2 linked regions of the Lepisosteus oculatus genome follow. The protein of the gene in region 2 purifies or fractionates together with the protein of the main gene of each other region. This does not show direct contact. Links are inferred from orthologs where the notes say so. Each region holds a gene or a part of one and is shown on either strand. Other genes may lie near its edges.

Evidence for each region. Proteins that work in one complex are often made in the same cells at the same time.
Region 1: the proteins of haus5 (region 2) and haus2 purify together in Homo sapiens (affinity purification with mass spectrometry; 5 studies listed by BioGRID and IntAct, with this or other methods). This does not show direct contact. The link is inferred for Lepisosteus oculatus from reciprocal best matches to the Homo sapiens genes HAUS5 and HAUS2.

Annotation. Positions count from the first base shown.
Region 1 is NC_090703.1:12,612,013-12,620,627, reverse strand, and holds the start of haus2 (HAUS augmin-like complex subunit 2), read left to right. Parts: upstream 1-5,282; 5' UTR 5,283-5,377; exon of another isoform or gene 5,378-5,437; intron 5,438-5,817; exon of another isoform or gene 5,818-5,842; 5' UTR 5,843-5,862; coding exon 5,863-6,000; intron 6,001-6,287; coding exon 6,288-6,380; intron 6,381-6,574; coding exon 6,575-6,644; intron 6,645-6,951; coding exon 6,952-7,084; intron 7,085-7,659; coding exon 7,660-7,768; intron 7,769-7,815; exon of another isoform or gene 7,816-7,876; intron 7,877-8,289; exon of another isoform or gene 8,290-8,615. Other genes in the region: lrrc57 (leucine-rich repeat-containing protein 57), read right to left, coding at 1-44, 1,151-1,234.
Region 2 is NC_090722.1:11,586,204-11,594,345, forward strand, and holds the start of haus5 (HAUS augmin-like complex subunit 5), read right to left. Parts: upstream 3,538-8,142; 5' UTR 3,450-3,537; intron 3,444-3,449; exon of another isoform or gene 3,037-3,443; intron 2,760-3,036; 5' UTR 2,619-2,759; coding exon 2,521-2,618; intron 2,353-2,520; coding exon 2,290-2,352; intron 2,033-2,289; coding exon 2,000-2,032; intron 1,438-1,999; coding exon 1,413-1,437; intron 1,161-1,412; coding exon 1,028-1,160; intron 511-1,027; coding exon 351-510; intron 1-350. Other genes in the region: ncam3 (neural cell adhesion molecule 1), read right to left, coding at 6,941-6,995, 7,922-8,035.

The sequences.
Region 1 (8,615 bases), on a different chromosome or scaffold from region 2:
ACTGTCCGTAAATTACTGGACAGTCTCTGTAGGTCTTCAGGGAACTGAAATGCACCAGAATGGACAGATATAAACACCTACAGAAACTAAGAGAGAACTACCACTAGGCAACAACCTAAAACTGTATCAAGTACATTGATACCTTTTTTAAAAGGACTGACATGGCAAGAGTCTCTAAAAATGTGTGCACTGACACCTTCATGAATTTTTGGGTTGTGATAATGCAGTGTGTAGGATGTCTGCTAAGCACAATACTGCGGAGAGTGCTGTTGCTACTGGAGACTACTCCAGCTGAAATCTTACAGTACGCGTTTACTCTGCCCAGCATTGCATGAGACTTGCCAAAAAGACACAGAGCACTCTGCAGCAGAAGAGATTGAGTGAAAACTCCAAAGTACAAAGCATGCAGGGATAAAAGAGAGCAAACAGACCTAAAATGGACATTGAGACCTTTAAAAATCTGCAATAAGAAGACTATCTGCAATATCAAAATGCTTTAACCATTATGCAGTTTGTCTATCAAAAAACACACATTGCAATTAATTCAGTATTTTACATGTAAGCTCATTTTCGTCTACAGAATGTCAGCATTATCGTAAGAGTTCGGGTATATTTTCAGCAAAGGGTTTAAGAAACTGAATGACACAACTCAGAAGAATATGGGAACACTGAAGGTCTCTAGAAAAGAACTACATTATATAAACTGGGCAACAAACCAAACCCTCATTTTCAATCCCTGTAAAAAACAAAAAGTAGCCGAGTTGCTCCAGACAGGGTAGATTAATGAAAAAGGACCCCTCCACCTGCTCCTCATTGAAAGGGCTACTCAGCACAGCCAATGTCTACCAACTTGTCTTTGGAAGGAGGGAGAAAACCAGTTTGTAAAGAAAAAAATGTCACGGGGAGACCATGCAATTTCCACACAGAAGGTGCTTCTGTCCTGACTCGGACCCATGACACTGCAGCTGAAAGACAGCAGCACAAACTGGCAGAACCACTTTGACTGTAAGCCTCTGAAAATAATAGCAAATAGGACAACAGACTAGATCCCACCATAAGGAAACCACATAAGCAGTTGTCACAATGTAGGAGAATTTGCCAGGGAGTATTATTCGAAGAAAGACAGACAGGGCAGCCCGCTATCTCGCACCTCGGGCAGGCCCTTGCCGGTGAGCTGAAACACCCCAGTCTTTTGGGACGTCTCAATGTGAGCCTTGAGAGCACTGTTCCCCATCCCTGCTCCCCGCTGCTGGGCTTCGCTTTTCAATCGCCTCCACGGATCCCAGGCAGAAAGTACTCCGCCTCCACTCCTCAATGCACAGGGCCCAGTTTCCCACTCGCTTCCCGCTATACACAGCCTCCGCGAAAATCCGTTCCCTGTTGTTTTTTTACAGTTCCAGTCTGTACGGGGAAAGAGCATGGAGCAAGATGAATTATACATGAATTCCTTTTCTTAATCGAAATAACTACAGTTATGTTGTTGTACCACCTACAGTTTTTTTCCTTTCGCCTGATTCATTCGGACTGTGCAATGGTATTGTTTTCCCGTACAAAAACAAAAAAAATCACTACCAATCTCACTTGAAAGAATAGCCCAATGTAACATGAAAGCGTTAAAATGACTGTTTTTCTTTAAAGTGTTATAACATGGGACGTTTTTAATAATAATACTTTATTAAACATGTCGGTTTATTAGGATGGCGTGAAAAAAATAATAAAAAAGAAACAGACGAACGCCCTTGATCCTGATAGAAACATTTTAAAATACTGTTAGGTGCAAGTTTCAATCAGGCTACAAAGCAATGTAGTTTGATACGACTTACATTAAATAACAACATGCCAAGGAAGGCGCCAGAGTCACGTTATTGCAAACTTAGCACAAAACAATATTTTCTGAAATACGCAGAAATATACGTCTAAATTACAACAGATAATATTGTACTCTCAAACAGATCGCGCTACAATGATTTTAGCTGTGTAACAAAAACACAAAATAAATATGTTGATTATTTTCAATTGTTTTTAAACATTAACGAAGCAAAACAAAACGATTGTTGTTACCTGATTCCCAAAGCTTATTTTCGGTGCGTTAAGATGATTGCTCTATTTACAACAACACGGGCTCACATGAACTGAGAACAGAAGCCGCTAAATAAGATTTTGTTTTTAATCTCCCGGAAACAGAAAAGACAAACTTGCTGACGAAAGGAAATGGGCTAGCCCACCGAGCAGCCATGTTACCAATGGCAACAAAACAGCCTTAAGCTCTAAAACTTTTTATATCTTGACATGTATTTTAAAAAGTTCAAGGTATATTGCACTTTTGAAAAAACAAATAAACACTTGGTCTGGATCATATGTTAATTATAAAATTTTGGTATATATGGAAGAACACTACGTTGCTAGACTAGGGATTAATTTGTTTCGTGACTATTTGAAGAAGGGATCACATGAAATTCTGCTTCTCTTTAAAAAACGTAGAAAAAATGACTAATTTGATATTCGCTATTTTGATAATCTCACCTGAAGTTAGTACTTTAATCTGAACATTATATTTTAATTAAGACATAATTATGATTAGTCTATACAATGCACAGTTTGAAGGGCCAAAGAGATGCCCTTTCTATTCTGTTACCGAAGTTCACCTTGAGCTCCATGAAGATGGCCCCCCTACAGACTGCACAAACGATTAAACCCACCTCATTCGTTAGTGCTACTTTTGTGCCGGTTTGTGCCGTTGAAATTAGCGTTTGTGCTTCTTTCGTTCCCGAGATATAGCGCCTTAGTTTCCCGGTGATCACGTGAACATGCACGGTGACTTTGACCTCCAGTGACCCCGTCTGCCGAGTTCAAGCGCTCAGTTATAGTTTAGCTCGTAACCTTAACATTTTAAAGACAACATCCATAAACTATGAGCCTCCTTAGATGTGAATAATACTAAGACTTGACGCATGCCAACAAATTAACATCTGTGACATAAACCTGTGGTTCTAATGTATGTAAAATAATCGTGATTGTAAGATCCATGGTTTTTATTTTCTATGGCACGTTTTCCTTTGCTTTCCCTACCCTGACATGCTGTTGCCAAACGCGTAATTGTGGGATACCATTGCGACAAGAGCTCCGCAGCATGTCATGATTGGGACCCCATGTATATCGCGGCAGTGTATATCACGACTGGCGCCTTGGTTCCATGCCACCCTGGAACTGCTGTCGCAACAAAGGTCTCATATCAGGACATGATATACCCAGATAGGACGTGCCGTGATACATGGACTTTGTGTCGCAACATGGGGTCAGCATATCCTGTCCAGGGTATGTTCTATGGCAACATATGGATTCCATGTCACGACATGGGGGCAGGGCATTTTGTCGGTGTATGTCATATTGCGATATACGGGCTTCATGTCGCGACATGGAGGCGGGGCGCTTCTGCCGGGGTATGTCGTATCGCGATATGGGGTCTTCATGTCGCGACCTGGGGGCAGGGCATTTTGGCTGGGTAGGTCATATCGCGATATGCGGGTTTCATGTCGCGACATGGGGGCGGGGCGCTTCTGCCGGGGTATCTCATATCGCGACATGGGGGCTTCATGTCGCGACATGGGGGCGGGGCACTTTTGCCGGGGTATGTCATATCGCGATATGCGGGCTCCATGTCGGGACATGGGGGCGGGGGCATTTTGTCGTGTATGTCATATCGCGATATATGGACTTAATGTCGCAACAGTGGCGCCTTGACAGTGATCCGCCAGTCAAAATGGGTATCGCGATGTGTCCGATGTGCGCGTACTCCTATCGTGACATGCTGTCGGAATCGTGAACGTGCTGTGGATGCCATGGCATTCTTTGTCTGCTATTCAGTTTTGACCTCAGTGCGACTTCTCTAAGCTTGATCAGAAATTGGAAACCATTGGATGTATTTCTGTATATCCAGCGTGCTCATACAGCACACACGGTATACACAGAACTTCCGCTGTGGCGCTTTACCCAATCAGAGTGTCGATTCTCAATCTTCACCCAATCGTGGCCCGAGCTGTTCGGGGGTTTAGCCAATCACGGGTCTGAGAGCTGTTCAAGCTAGCAGCGCCGGGTGGATCGGCTTGTTTTTTGTTAATGAGAAGCTATTTTTAAAATGCTTTACTTATTTGCAAAATAACTACACGTCTTATTTTTTTAACGTCTTTATTGATTCACAATGTCCCGTACTCTTCGAAATAAATACATTTTTTATTTGCAATATAACTGTCTCCGCTGCTTTCTGTAATGAATACATGGTATTTGAACAATTTTAATTTGTATATTTAAGGTAGGGGAAACACCTTCTACTATGTACGTAAAAATGAATAGAAATGTAAAGTCTGTGATCATTATATTATTATGCTAGTGCTTTCAATTTTGTTTTTATTGTTAAATTATTTCGATCTTGAAACTAATACATAAAAATGTGAATATGGGCTCTCGTGTTGTACCAGCGGTAATTTGGAAACTGGTGTCTCTTCACCACTAATGAAAGGAGTGCACAAGCAATACATTTTCGAGAACATGGTTAAAAATTAAAAGAAACACCTTACCCAATGAGCTAACATAGCAACTCCTCCCTAAATGTAAGACTGTTTATTCGTGTAAAGGCTGCAAAGTCTGGGGTCAACTGGTCAAAAGAGCGCAACTGAAAGATCTGGTAGTCGTGACTTAAATGTTTTTACGTCACAGAGTGACGTCAAAGGCAGGAAAAGAAGGCGCTATATTGAAATATACTGAAACATCCACCCAACCCGAAAAGACGGACTCGGAAAACAAATTGCCCGCATTGTTTTAATCACAATCAGGAGTTCAAGTACCCAGTTTGTTGGTACCCGTAAATGTCCTTGTAAATAGTCACGTGATTACCCGAAAAAACAAGGCGCTACATCTCTGAAACGAAAGCAGCACAGACGCTACTTACAGCGACACAAACCGGCACAAACGCAGCACTAACGAATGAAGTGGGTTTAATCGTTTGTGCTGTCTTTAGGGGGGGGGGGGGCAACTTCACGGAACTTTTACCTTGAACCCTCAAACAAGACTGGCACTGACAACATGGCAAAATGTTGTTCACGTTCGTGCTATTATGTTATTATTTAAGAAACTGAAAAATATCAGCCGCAGTAAACCTCATCTTTATTTTGCAACTAATTCTGCAATAAAATAAGTGATTTGACATTAAAATTGTGCAAATGTCTTGTATTATTATGTTAGGCGAGGAAACAAATTTGACAAATTACCAAATCGCTTTTAAAATACGTCATCAGTGTGCGCAGAAAAGAGGCGGGTGCGGGATTGTTTAAAATAGAATGGCAGTGATGGGACTGCAGAGGGAAAATAAGATCACACTTAGGTGAGATTATTGTTATGTTGTATTATAACACGGATCCTTCCTGTTCTCAAACACGCTAAGGTGATATATTCTTCTAGCGAACCTACCAGCGGCGAAATATGAGTCTTGTTATATTTAAAGTTTTAAATGGGGATTAAGAAAATGTATTGTCTCCTTCAAGCTGAATCAAAAAGAACTGCACTCGAAAATGTCAGTAATTGTGTGTTCGACGGCTTTCAGATTTTTGCAGATGTTTATTCGAATTTATTTAAATGATTTTGTTTAATTCCATTAGATTTTTAACGGTTTTGGGTTGCATAAAAAAAACTGTAAACATAACCACTACCGGTACATGTTTTGTACTTACAGTAAGCTACGGGTTAGAAGTAAGTGCAACGTCTGAAATGTATCTTATTTGTCTTGCATTTTCCTGTTTCATCACCAACACCCAACACCAACAGTGCCTTTGTCGTCTTTACCGATCAGTGCTTGTTATTCAGTGCCGAATGATACCGATGATGATTTCAGTTGATGAGTGGCGCGTCCCTGCCCTGGAGATGAATCCCTGGGTGCCGGCGCCCTATGCCGTGACCCCTGCAGCCCAGGTGCTGGCCAGATGTGTGGCTTCCGGAGCGCTGTCTGAGGTGAGGGTAGAGCACGCTTTCAACTGAGCCACCGGACGTTACTCAAACGAATCAATCTGAAGTGTACACGGGTTTTCAGCATGTATCCAGCTGTATTTTCTAGGTTCAGTCCACTTCACGTTTTTAAATGATACGTATCATGTTCTTCCCCTGAGACATGGTATTTGACAAAAATGCTTCACTTTTCCTCGGGGTTCCTTTTCCTTCTGTTTTATGCTTGTGGTGTGAACTGAAGTATAATGCACATGGTAATGAGATGCTTACTCGGCTTCCTTGCCGTGTTGCAGGACGTGGATGGCATCCCCAGAGACATAACTGTCTTCTCTCCTCAACTCCTTGAAGCTGAACAAGTTGCAGCATTGAGGCACGACATTAACGAGGTAACCTCTGACCTCCGCAGACGCTACCTGTTTTCTCACTTCTCTGAAAAAGTATCCTTTCTGTTTTCCTTGCACCTGAATCATTGAATGTTTTCAATCCGTTTTGGAAAGGGCGGGTTCCCTTCGCGTTGCTCAAGCTGTTGCGCCTGTACTTCACAGAATGCTTCTCATTGTGCGTTTTTTCTTGCTTTCAGAAAAGCCTGGAAGTGGAACTCTTACAGCTAGAAAAAGAGGGAGCTGAGGTCACCCACAGCTTTTATCTCTGTAGGTGGTACATGTCCAACTTGGTAGCAATACAGTCTCCTCCAGGAGAGTTGCTTGAATATACTTTTCTGGCTTCTAATAGAGATTTACGAGATGTTAATGCTCAAAATGTTCACTTCACTTACTTTAAAGTAATATGAAGAATGTATTAAGCTAAATGCTTCACTTTTTTGGTCTTTGTAATATTAAATTAACTCCTGCAGTGGTTACATTGACATTTTTAAGAAGAGCTGGGACTTGAGTTCTTGTCTCGGTGCTGCCTGTTTTAAAATGATATGGACAGTGATGGAAGTTATTGTTTCTCCAGCCAAGAAGTTTGAAGCCCTGCAGCAGTTCACCTCCCATTTGCAGGAAGTATTGCATGAACGTAGGAGTCTTTGGCAAAGGCTGATGAAACCACATTGCCAGCAGAATCTGCCCGTTGAGGCCAACCTGCACAGGCAAGTATAGAGGCAGCCCTTCAGTGTTTAAGACAAACTGCAATTTAACAGTTTTCTTCCAGGAATGATATCTTGACAAGTCTGTAACGCAACAACCTGGTAGAAGATTATTCGTTGATACTGATGTCAATGGGATGTCAAAAAGAGGAAAGGGGCCCCAGGGTCTTCCCTTAATTATGATGGCCACCTCTCTTGCTTCACTTGGAACAGCAATAAGAGGGGAACCTTCACCCCCTGCAGGAAAGCAAACAAGCTGCCAAGCCAGAAGAATCCTCATGGGGGTACATGTTTCTGTCAAGGAACAGGTAAGGGTTTATTCCTTGCTGAAAGCAAAAGAAAAGAGACTTACCATTTTGGCTGTGGAGCTTTCTTTTTCTTTCAGCATGGAATAACTCTTTACCTGCTCCTTTGCAGGCTATGCATGCCCACGCAGCTGCCTACATGAATGTGTTTCTGTCAAGCCCACCTCAGCCGCCCCGGCGGGTGGGTACAGGCGTTTCCATTGAATCCGTGTGGTGAAATGTGCAGTCAGACTTCCCAAAATAGCGCCTATATTACAATCTTCCCCGCTGCAGGTATGTGGTGCAGCTCGTAAGTATGGCCGCAGACTTCATCAAGAACCTGGAGAGCAGGGTGCAGACAACGCGCTCCATTCCTGACATTGGCCAGTCCATGGCCAGCCTGGTATGTGCATTCAGTTATCTCAAGCGGCTATAGCAGGGGTGGGCACCCCTGGTCCTGGAGGGGCCAGTGCGTCTGCCAGTTTTCTAGGTTTCTTCAAAGCACCAGCTCCTAAAACAATGGGAGAAGCTTTTACATTGGTCCTATTAAACCAGAACTGAGCTGATTGAGCTTGTTAAGAGCATGGTTTGAATGAAAACCTGCAGACATGCCAGCACTCCAGAACCAGGACTATCCCTGGGCCATAATCTGAGCCTAATTTATTTCTTAGGAATACCAAGCCAACAAAATAATATTGAAGGCCAGTTTCTCTGACAGGCCTTTTTTACAACCTGTAACAAACAGCTGTTCCAAAAACTGCATCTTAGTAGCCAGTTCCTCCTGCTGGCTAAATTGGCAAATTACCGCATCCTACAGTTAAGAGCAAAACTTCTCCCTACATCTGTTACTCAAAGTTCCTTAGGCATACAACCGCATGAAATGCTCTTTGGATACTGAATATATTGATCAAAATAAGACATCAGTGTGTTAAATATGTTTGTATTCTAAAATAACAAGTATCACCATCAGGAATTCATTTATAGCTGCAGCATTGCAAAAGTGAAGACAAAAATCCAAAGGGGAGTGAAAAGCATAACAGCTAGGGCCCTGCTAAGTTTGTGATTTCATATAGCTGGTGTGAAGGGAGCGTACTGGCACACTGTACGCTTTGAGTGGATTGTCCAGGAAAGAGCTATATAAACTAAGGAATTATTATTATTAAATATTTTGCAATGTACATTTCTTATTGTAAAATGCATGATGCAACTTGAGCAAACAGTAACTCTGCATGATATAGAATCTCTGTGCT
Region 2 (8,142 bases):
TAAGACAATGACTCCTGATTGCACCTGGAGACAATCAGCAAGCTCAGGGAAGGAGAATTTGTGCTGAACGCAGTTTCTCCCTGTAGGCATCAGCGTTTTGTGTGTGCCTAGTCTTGGGGAAAACCACCTGCATGACCCAGGGCAGCCAGCGATGTGACCCCGAGCTTGAACCTCTGACCCCGAAGGTCTGATCCTGCTCCAGAGGAATCGCGTCAGCAGGGGTGATCAGTGACCCCTGATCCACAGACAGGTGAGGAGTCTCATTTCACATTCAGAGCGCCCTGTCTGCTGCTGTGCCACAAGGACAGACAGGGTGACAGCCCGGACAGCACCCCGCTGGGGAACCCTACCTGGCCAGCTCCGCCAGGGCCTGGCAGTGCCCACTGATCCGCCGGCGATCCTGCCACAGAGAGTGGCGCTCCTGGGCACAGCGCACTCCCATCGCCTGGAGCAGGACCCTCCTGCGCCTGGCCTCCGAGCAGTGGTCCCAGCACTGACCCACAGCCCTGTCTGAGGACAGCAGGGAGAGCGAGGGAACTGGAGACGAATTTCCACAAGATGCCCAAAGGTGGTGTCTCGACCACCAGGCGAGGAATATATGACCAGACCCCTCCCAAACACCACGAAACATTTTTGTCGCTCTTCTCTGACATCTGGCTAAAGCTGGAGAGTCTTTCTGTGACCAGCCCTCAACACAATATTCATTAAAATTAACCAAACAGCTGATAACATTCATGACAATTCTCATGTTCTTAATAATAAATTGGAAAAATATTTGCCTAGAAACATCTTCACTAATTACTGCAACAATCGAAAATAACTATTATAAGATCATCCATAAGGAAATTAAATCGCACATTTCTCCCACGAATTTTGGGACTCAGAAGTCTTTGCTTTTGAAGTTTGATTGTTCATTTTTTAGCTCCTCGAGATTTAAACTGCACACACGGTCGACACACAGCTGATTCTCTGGAGGGATATCAACCCCCCCTCCCCTGCTGGCCCCTGCCGTGCCCGCAGGCCTCACCGTCACTGCACAGCTCCGCCTGCGACTGCTCGATCTGGGCGTCCAGCTCCACCAGCTCTGCCCGCAGCTCCTCGATCTCCCGGGTCAGCGCCCGGCGCCGCGCCGCCTCACTCTGGCCCTCGCCGCGCCGCACCTGCCAACCCGCGGGAGTGAGAATCTACAGCCCCACGCGCCTCCCCCGCCACTGAGCACAGGGAGAAGGGTGAGGGTCAAAGGTCAAAGACAGAAGGGTGCCCTTGCCGCGACCATCACTGCTCACACATGGCTTTGAGAGAGCAACTTTACACTGGGTTTCTTTAAAAAAAAAAAAAGAAGAACTTGCATCAAGCCGTTCAGCCCAACTCTTAAGATCTGAGTCTATAACAATCAAAAAGTTCCAATTTACCTCCGAATCCTGCATGACTTTGTAGCTGAAAGTGCTCCGTCAAGGAATCTGACATCTCCCGTTCAAACACAAGACAATAGCAAAGCCTTTCTCAGCGCAGCCCGAACCCTAAACCCTGATGAACACGATGGGGCCTCCCCAGTCGAGGCAGCTGTCTGGAAAGACTGACCCAGCCTAAGCCCTCCTCTCTCAACAAGACTTGTGACCACAGCAGCACGGACCTGTCTGAGCAGAGTGGAAGCAACACAGATCTCATGAAACCAGCACAAGCCCAGGAGGCAGACTGTCTCACGGCTGAACTGGGTTAGAAGGCAAGGCGACATGTGGCTTATCTTCTGCCTGGGTGAGGGGTCACATTTCAGATGAGACTTTAAAACTAGATCCCCCCTTCTTACAATCAATCTTTACCAACACCACAATGACTGCGACAGAAATGCTCAGGGTGCCGAGCATGTAAATTCCTACTCACTCTTCCTCAGGCTGTTCTGCTTTACTCTAGTTTAAACAGCTTTACAGAATTCCAAATGAGCGAGAGCTTCAGGTCAGTCACTACAGATTATGGCACCAGGAGGTTTAATAAAGGATACCACTGCAGGTTTCCTCGCATGATTCTCACATTCCTGCGAACAAAAACAGAAATCCTGTAAGCTGGACTACAGCACTGCAGGACCACAGCAGAGTCTCCATCCCCTGGAGGAGAGCCATAGCTCTCACTGACAGCACTGCAGGACCACAGCAGAGTCTCCATCCACTGGAGGAGAGACACAGCTCTCACTGACAGCACTGTAGGACCACAGCAGAGTCTCCATCCACTGGAGGAGAGATGTAGCTCCAACAGGCAGGCAGGTTGCAAGAGCGTGTCAGTGAGCCCACTCACCCCTCATTGTAAACGTGCCGAGTGATGTATTTCCAGATGTCAGCACCCTGACCCAGACACAACCTGAAACAGAGAAATAAAAATAAGCAAAAAACAAAACAACATAAAAAATAAGTGCAGCGTGTGTGGTGTCAGGAAGACATCACTCTTATTCTACAATCTTGCTTATACTGCACTGTAAAACCCGGAGCGAATCACAGAGCCACTGCACTGGGCAGGAGCCTCACTCACGTCCTGAAGTAGCTGTCCGGAGGCAGGTCACGGGCCGGCAGCTCCAGCTCCTCCACAATCCAGCGCTTCAGCACCTGTGGCAGATCCTTGTCTCCCATCCTGTCAAATCCAGGCGTGAACTGGGTCCACTCCAGTTTCCCAGCCTCGGGTGAGAAGGGCTGGCTGTCAGGCAGCAGCACAAACACAGGGATTCACTCCTGATCCTGGATGGGCTGCAATCCACCAGGTTTTATAGGCAACTGCGGGACGAGGAGTGAATATTAGTCAATGACTGCCCACAGCGTGGATAAGATGGTTTCTGCAGGGTCTCCAGTCAGACACCCCACACAGCAGCCTGTCCCCAGCTGTGCGATGAAAGTGTGGCCACAATGCAAAACCCGGAGTGGACCAGACTGCTGTGCACCGGGAGTCTGACTGACCCCAGCGGTCAGACTGCAGTGCACATAAACAGACCAACACCGGCACCACTGCCGCGCAATGCGAGTCTGACGGTGTTAGGCGTTGCAGGAGTTTCACCGTTTAAATGCGCGTCTTCCAGTGTCCCGTCCCCCGCGGCTGTGAATTCACGACACGGCCGGTCAGGCTCGGCTCTCGGTGAGCGAAGGGAAACGAGCACAGGGGCCTCTGACCTCCCTCCGCGCAGTCAGACACGACACTCAGCTACTAACTTCACCTTCCGCTCGTCTCCGTGAGCCGAGAGACACAGCGTGAAGCCCCTTTTACTGATATGCAGGAAAAACATAGTGTCGAAATATCACTGCTGCCCATTCTGTCTGCTGTCTACCGCTAACTGAGGAGACACGGGTGAAACGTATTTGTAAAAACTTGACAAATGCAAGCAATAGTTTTTATTACAGTTATAGTTTTCATTATAATAGTCACTCAGAAACGGTTTTACAACACGATTAAATAAATAAACCGCCTGATACCTTTTTTTATCCTAGTTTCGCTCAACCCGGTCAAACAAACGGCAGCATCTTATTTTGAACCTCGGAAACATTTCCTACTTCCCGCCGCCACCGCGTCTCTTGATCAGAGGCTTTTCCGTTGACGTCACGCATGCAGGGCGTCTTGGGAACTGTAGTTTTCTTTGATAGATACTTTATTGATCCCGTGAGGGAAATTGCAGTGCAACAGCAGCTTAACACAGACAACACAGCCACAGTGTAACGAATGATACAATAATAATAATAGTACAATACATACAATACAATCAGTACAGTGAGGGTGCACTAAAAGAGTTACTCACAGTCTGGACACACATCTCCTGATGAGCTTGTTCAGCCTGTTGGAATCCACTGCTCTAATCCCAGAGCCCCAGCACACCACTTCGTAGAAAATGGCACTCGCTACCACCGACTGATAGAACATATGTAGCATCTTACTACACACATTGAAGGACCTGAGCCTCCTCAAGAAGTGAGCAGTACTGCAGATGGTGACGTCGATCAATGATTTTTTTCTTGTCTTTTTAAGAGTGTTTCACAATCGTTTACACATTGTTTGAGACTACACTCCCTATACTCAAAACTATAAACACAAATGGCAAAACCTTTGCCCAACTGGGCAAACAGCAGAAATGTCAAACAAAATTAAACATTCTTCTCTTCAAAAACATGTTATCTTCCATCTGAACAAAACGTTGTGTTTAAAAGACACAGATAACCCATTTAACAAATAGACCCTACAGAGTAGCTGCTTAACATTCTCAGCATTTCTTGCAACCACTGGTGCGAATCACGACTAGGTCTCCTGCCACTGTTCCAGTTACGCCAGGTTTGTGATTGGAAATTGAACAATTGTACCCCTCAGGGTTTTCACTGGAGGAGTGGGGGCTGTTAATTGATGAATGGAGCTCACGCATTAACACCCAAAAGCAGGTGATTTTACTGATGACAATTCTGTGAGTGTGAGTGAAGCTCTGCTCATTCCTGATGAAACCGTGTTCCTTCAGGTAGGGAGGAAATCTATCAGCTGCTCTGGCCTCGAGCAGGAAAGTCTGGACCTGCGGTCTGGAACTGAGCAAACTGAGACAATGCTGTTTGTTTCAATTTTGAGATATTTTATTTTACAAAACAATGCATGTAATAACAGTGTATATACACACAATGTACAGTGCATGATACAAAATAGGTAAAGTCCAAAAACAGTCTTATTTGTACAAAATACAAGGAGAGATCGTTTGGTTACAAGTACAGTGAACAGGAGGTGGTGAAATGTCACTGCGGTTGAAATTCTGATAAAGAAACGGCCTGATCCCTCACAAACATAGTGAGGGATCAGGCTCCAATACAATACGAGAGCCGGCAAATGTCAGACTGTTCTACTGAAAATGTATAGGGGTGATTGAATCATTCATTCAGACTTCAAGCATGGAGAAGGTCTGACACACTTTCCAAAATCCTCTGGATCAAAGAACTGAATTCTGTGCTGAGGAGGAAGAGACTGAAACGCTCAAAGACCAAAGAGCTGTCGAGTGTTTAATGAATAACAAATTTCAGAAATGCCTGCACAGGGAGGTGGGGGACACATCTGAGCGTCACACAGGTTTTGCTGATGGGATTCGGATGCCTGTGTCACGCAGATATCAGTCCCACCCCAGTTCCTTCTCATCGGCCAGCGGGGACTTCACCTGGACTGCTAAGAGTGCAGTGTGGGTCAGCTGGGGTGTTGGAAGGGTTAATAGTTGTGTTAATGGAGGGTTTTAATGAGTTCGGAGTGACACATGTTCACAGGGGAATAGAAGAGCACTCTGCTGCAGCACAACCACTCAGACCTGGTGTCTCCTGACTGCCCTGATACACAGACATAACAGACACTTCTGCGGAATCGCAGGAAACGTCAGAAATAAAACAGGAAGTCTACGGCAAGCAGTGAACTACCAGCATGAATGGTAATTCCTTGCGTTATCAGCAAGAAGATATGCTACGTTTATAAACATATACATCAATAAATATAGTACACATAAAAGTTTCCATAGCTTATAAAAGGAGCTGCGCTTACACAATTTTCACCCAATAAATAGAGGCAGTAAGACGAAGTGCTTGCGTGAGTCCCGAGGGTCAGCTGTGAGTACAGACTAAGGGCTCCTGCCTGGACAGCCTTCATTAAACAAAGGGAATGTTATCTACAGGCTGTGTTGACACGGCTGCTGTTTCCTCTGAGAGATGAGAGAGTTAAGGCTGACATCACCCTGGAGTGACGAGGGTGGGTGACCCCGGAGCTGAGCCATTGCCAGAATTGTCCAAGGGGTCTCAGGGCCCCCCACTGATTTTCATATTCTGAGACAGGGGTTTGTATTAATATGGCTCCTGGGGCATCCAATTAAAGATGCTGAGAGAGAAAGAGACAGAGGGATTGTCTGTACAGGGGATGTGGGAGTGCCTGGATAGTGCTGGTTTGTTCAAATAAAATCTCTACATGGAGAAAGTAAACCTAGTCTGCATACTGTTTAGGACTGATAAGGCCAGAGCATTTCAACATCTACCCTCCCATTTTGCTCATCTGTGGTCATTGGTTGCTTTCAGGCTCCTTCTTGTTTTAAATGGGATACAACAAACAGAAACTGCCTCAAAAAAGACTTCTCAAAGCTCAGCACCAGGGAGAGGCCCAGGGAAGGAATTCAGTGTCGCACTCATTGGCCAGACCTGTGGTGTGACACTGAAACTCTTCCCCTACGCACCTTCCCCTCAGAGGTGCCTTCGGGACTAGTTGGCCCTGGGGTGACCAGTGTGCTTGGTAAAAGGCTAACAGGGATCTCTCACCCTAGCAGGCCAATTGGGAAAGGAAATGGTAGAAGAATGCAGCTGACATCAGTCACACTTTAATTTAAAATTTCTATTTCTTCACTGGAGAACTCTCCCATCCGGATCAAATTTCTCCCACACCATTCTGAGGAAACGGAAAGCAAAATTGAACTAAACAATACATTTGTTCCCAGGCTAGTAGCCCTACTTTATTCCCAAAGGTACTCCCATTGGAACAAGGAGAAATCTGGGAACGTCAAGAGCCGTGCAAGAAAACTGGACTTGAGCAATGCTGCACAATACTGCTGTCCATCAAAGGACCATCAGCACTATTTTTAAAAACATGTCAGGATTAAAGTGATTCCTGTATCAGTTTATTTGTAATGGTGTTACAAGCCCAACATAGCCCAGCTGCTTAGATCCTGTAGTCTTGGGAACGACCTTGACCTTACACAGATAACTGAGAAATTGCCTATAGGCTTCTGCAGAAATGTCCCAGTTCTCTCCAGAACATTATAGCCGTCAAGAGATAACTGGGACATTCGTGTAGAGATGTTTAGGCTACCACTGTTAGGTGGTGTGTCTGCCCGTTGTAGTCTATAACTGTGGGACACTGTGAGACTACAAATCCCAGCTGCCCTTGAGGTGCGTCACCTCCTGGCGGGGCAGCAGCGTCAAGCCTCAGTGAAGGTGGCAGCGTTTGACTGCTCTTTCTTCTGCGGCAAATTCCTAGCAAAGGAAGGAGAAACAAGCTGTTTTAGGATGTTGTGCTCATCAGGGGACACGACACAATACATGCTGACATTACTAATGGCAGGTGCATGCGCTTGTATCGTCCTCTGCACCCAACTTCCTTAAAACAAGCAAACCGATAGCCCAATTCCGATGGCAGGCAACTTTCTGCCTCAATAAAGGTGAGAGGCAACAGTTGAATGATCTATTGCCATGTGGGTATTGAAAAATGGCCGCCAAGCTCAAACTCCAGCTGTGCAAACACAGCAGCGCACTCCTCTGGGACAGAACCACGCCGCCCTGTTTCCTGATGTTCCCCTCATGTCAGTCCTTGCTTGTCCTGAGCCCAGCAGCAGGGGCTGCTGCAGGGGCTGCTGCAGGGGCGCCTCCTATAGGCTGATTGTTAACCAGGACGGATGTTGAGGGATGTGTTGCACAGGCATTGAAGCAGCAATGGGCTTCAGATGACTACGCCACACTAATTCTCCTCCCCCGGTCACCCCCCATAAGATGGATGTGTGAGACTGTCTGCAGTTTTAGGCCTTGCAAGCCCATACGTATGGGAGACACAAAGCAGCTTAAAGATCATCCCTTTGCTAACATTTTTCTCCACTCTGCCCCAGTGAGTGTCGTTCTGTAAATTTTTGCAGGATAGTTATTTGTGGTGGAAAATGGTCCAAACCAGCAACAACAATGGAGGATGAGGGGGCGTGCAAGGAAGGACAGCGGGAAACAGCAGACGGCCCAGATCACGCCCTTGAAACGTTGCTCATTTCTCACACGGCTGGATGTTTGAGGAAATCGGTGCTGCCTTGGGGTTGTGATCCCTTAACCGGGCTCTGGCATCACCCCACGGCCATTTTTCATGGAGCGCAGTGTCCTGCGTCCACCCTCTTCCCCCCTAATGGGGGGGGGTCACCTACTCGAACTTGGTGAGGGGCGCTTTGTCGCACGTGACCTCGGCCTGCGCCCCGCTCTGCGGTTTCGGGATGCTGCACCGCCGGGTGCTGACCCCTTTGAGCTTCACCTCGCTGCGGCTGAAGAGAAGGGACACAGACGCAGAGGCTCATAGCAGGCGGTTCACACAGGACAGCCCCAGGTGGCACAGACAGGCAGAGAACTGCTGGTGCTCACAGAGAGACAG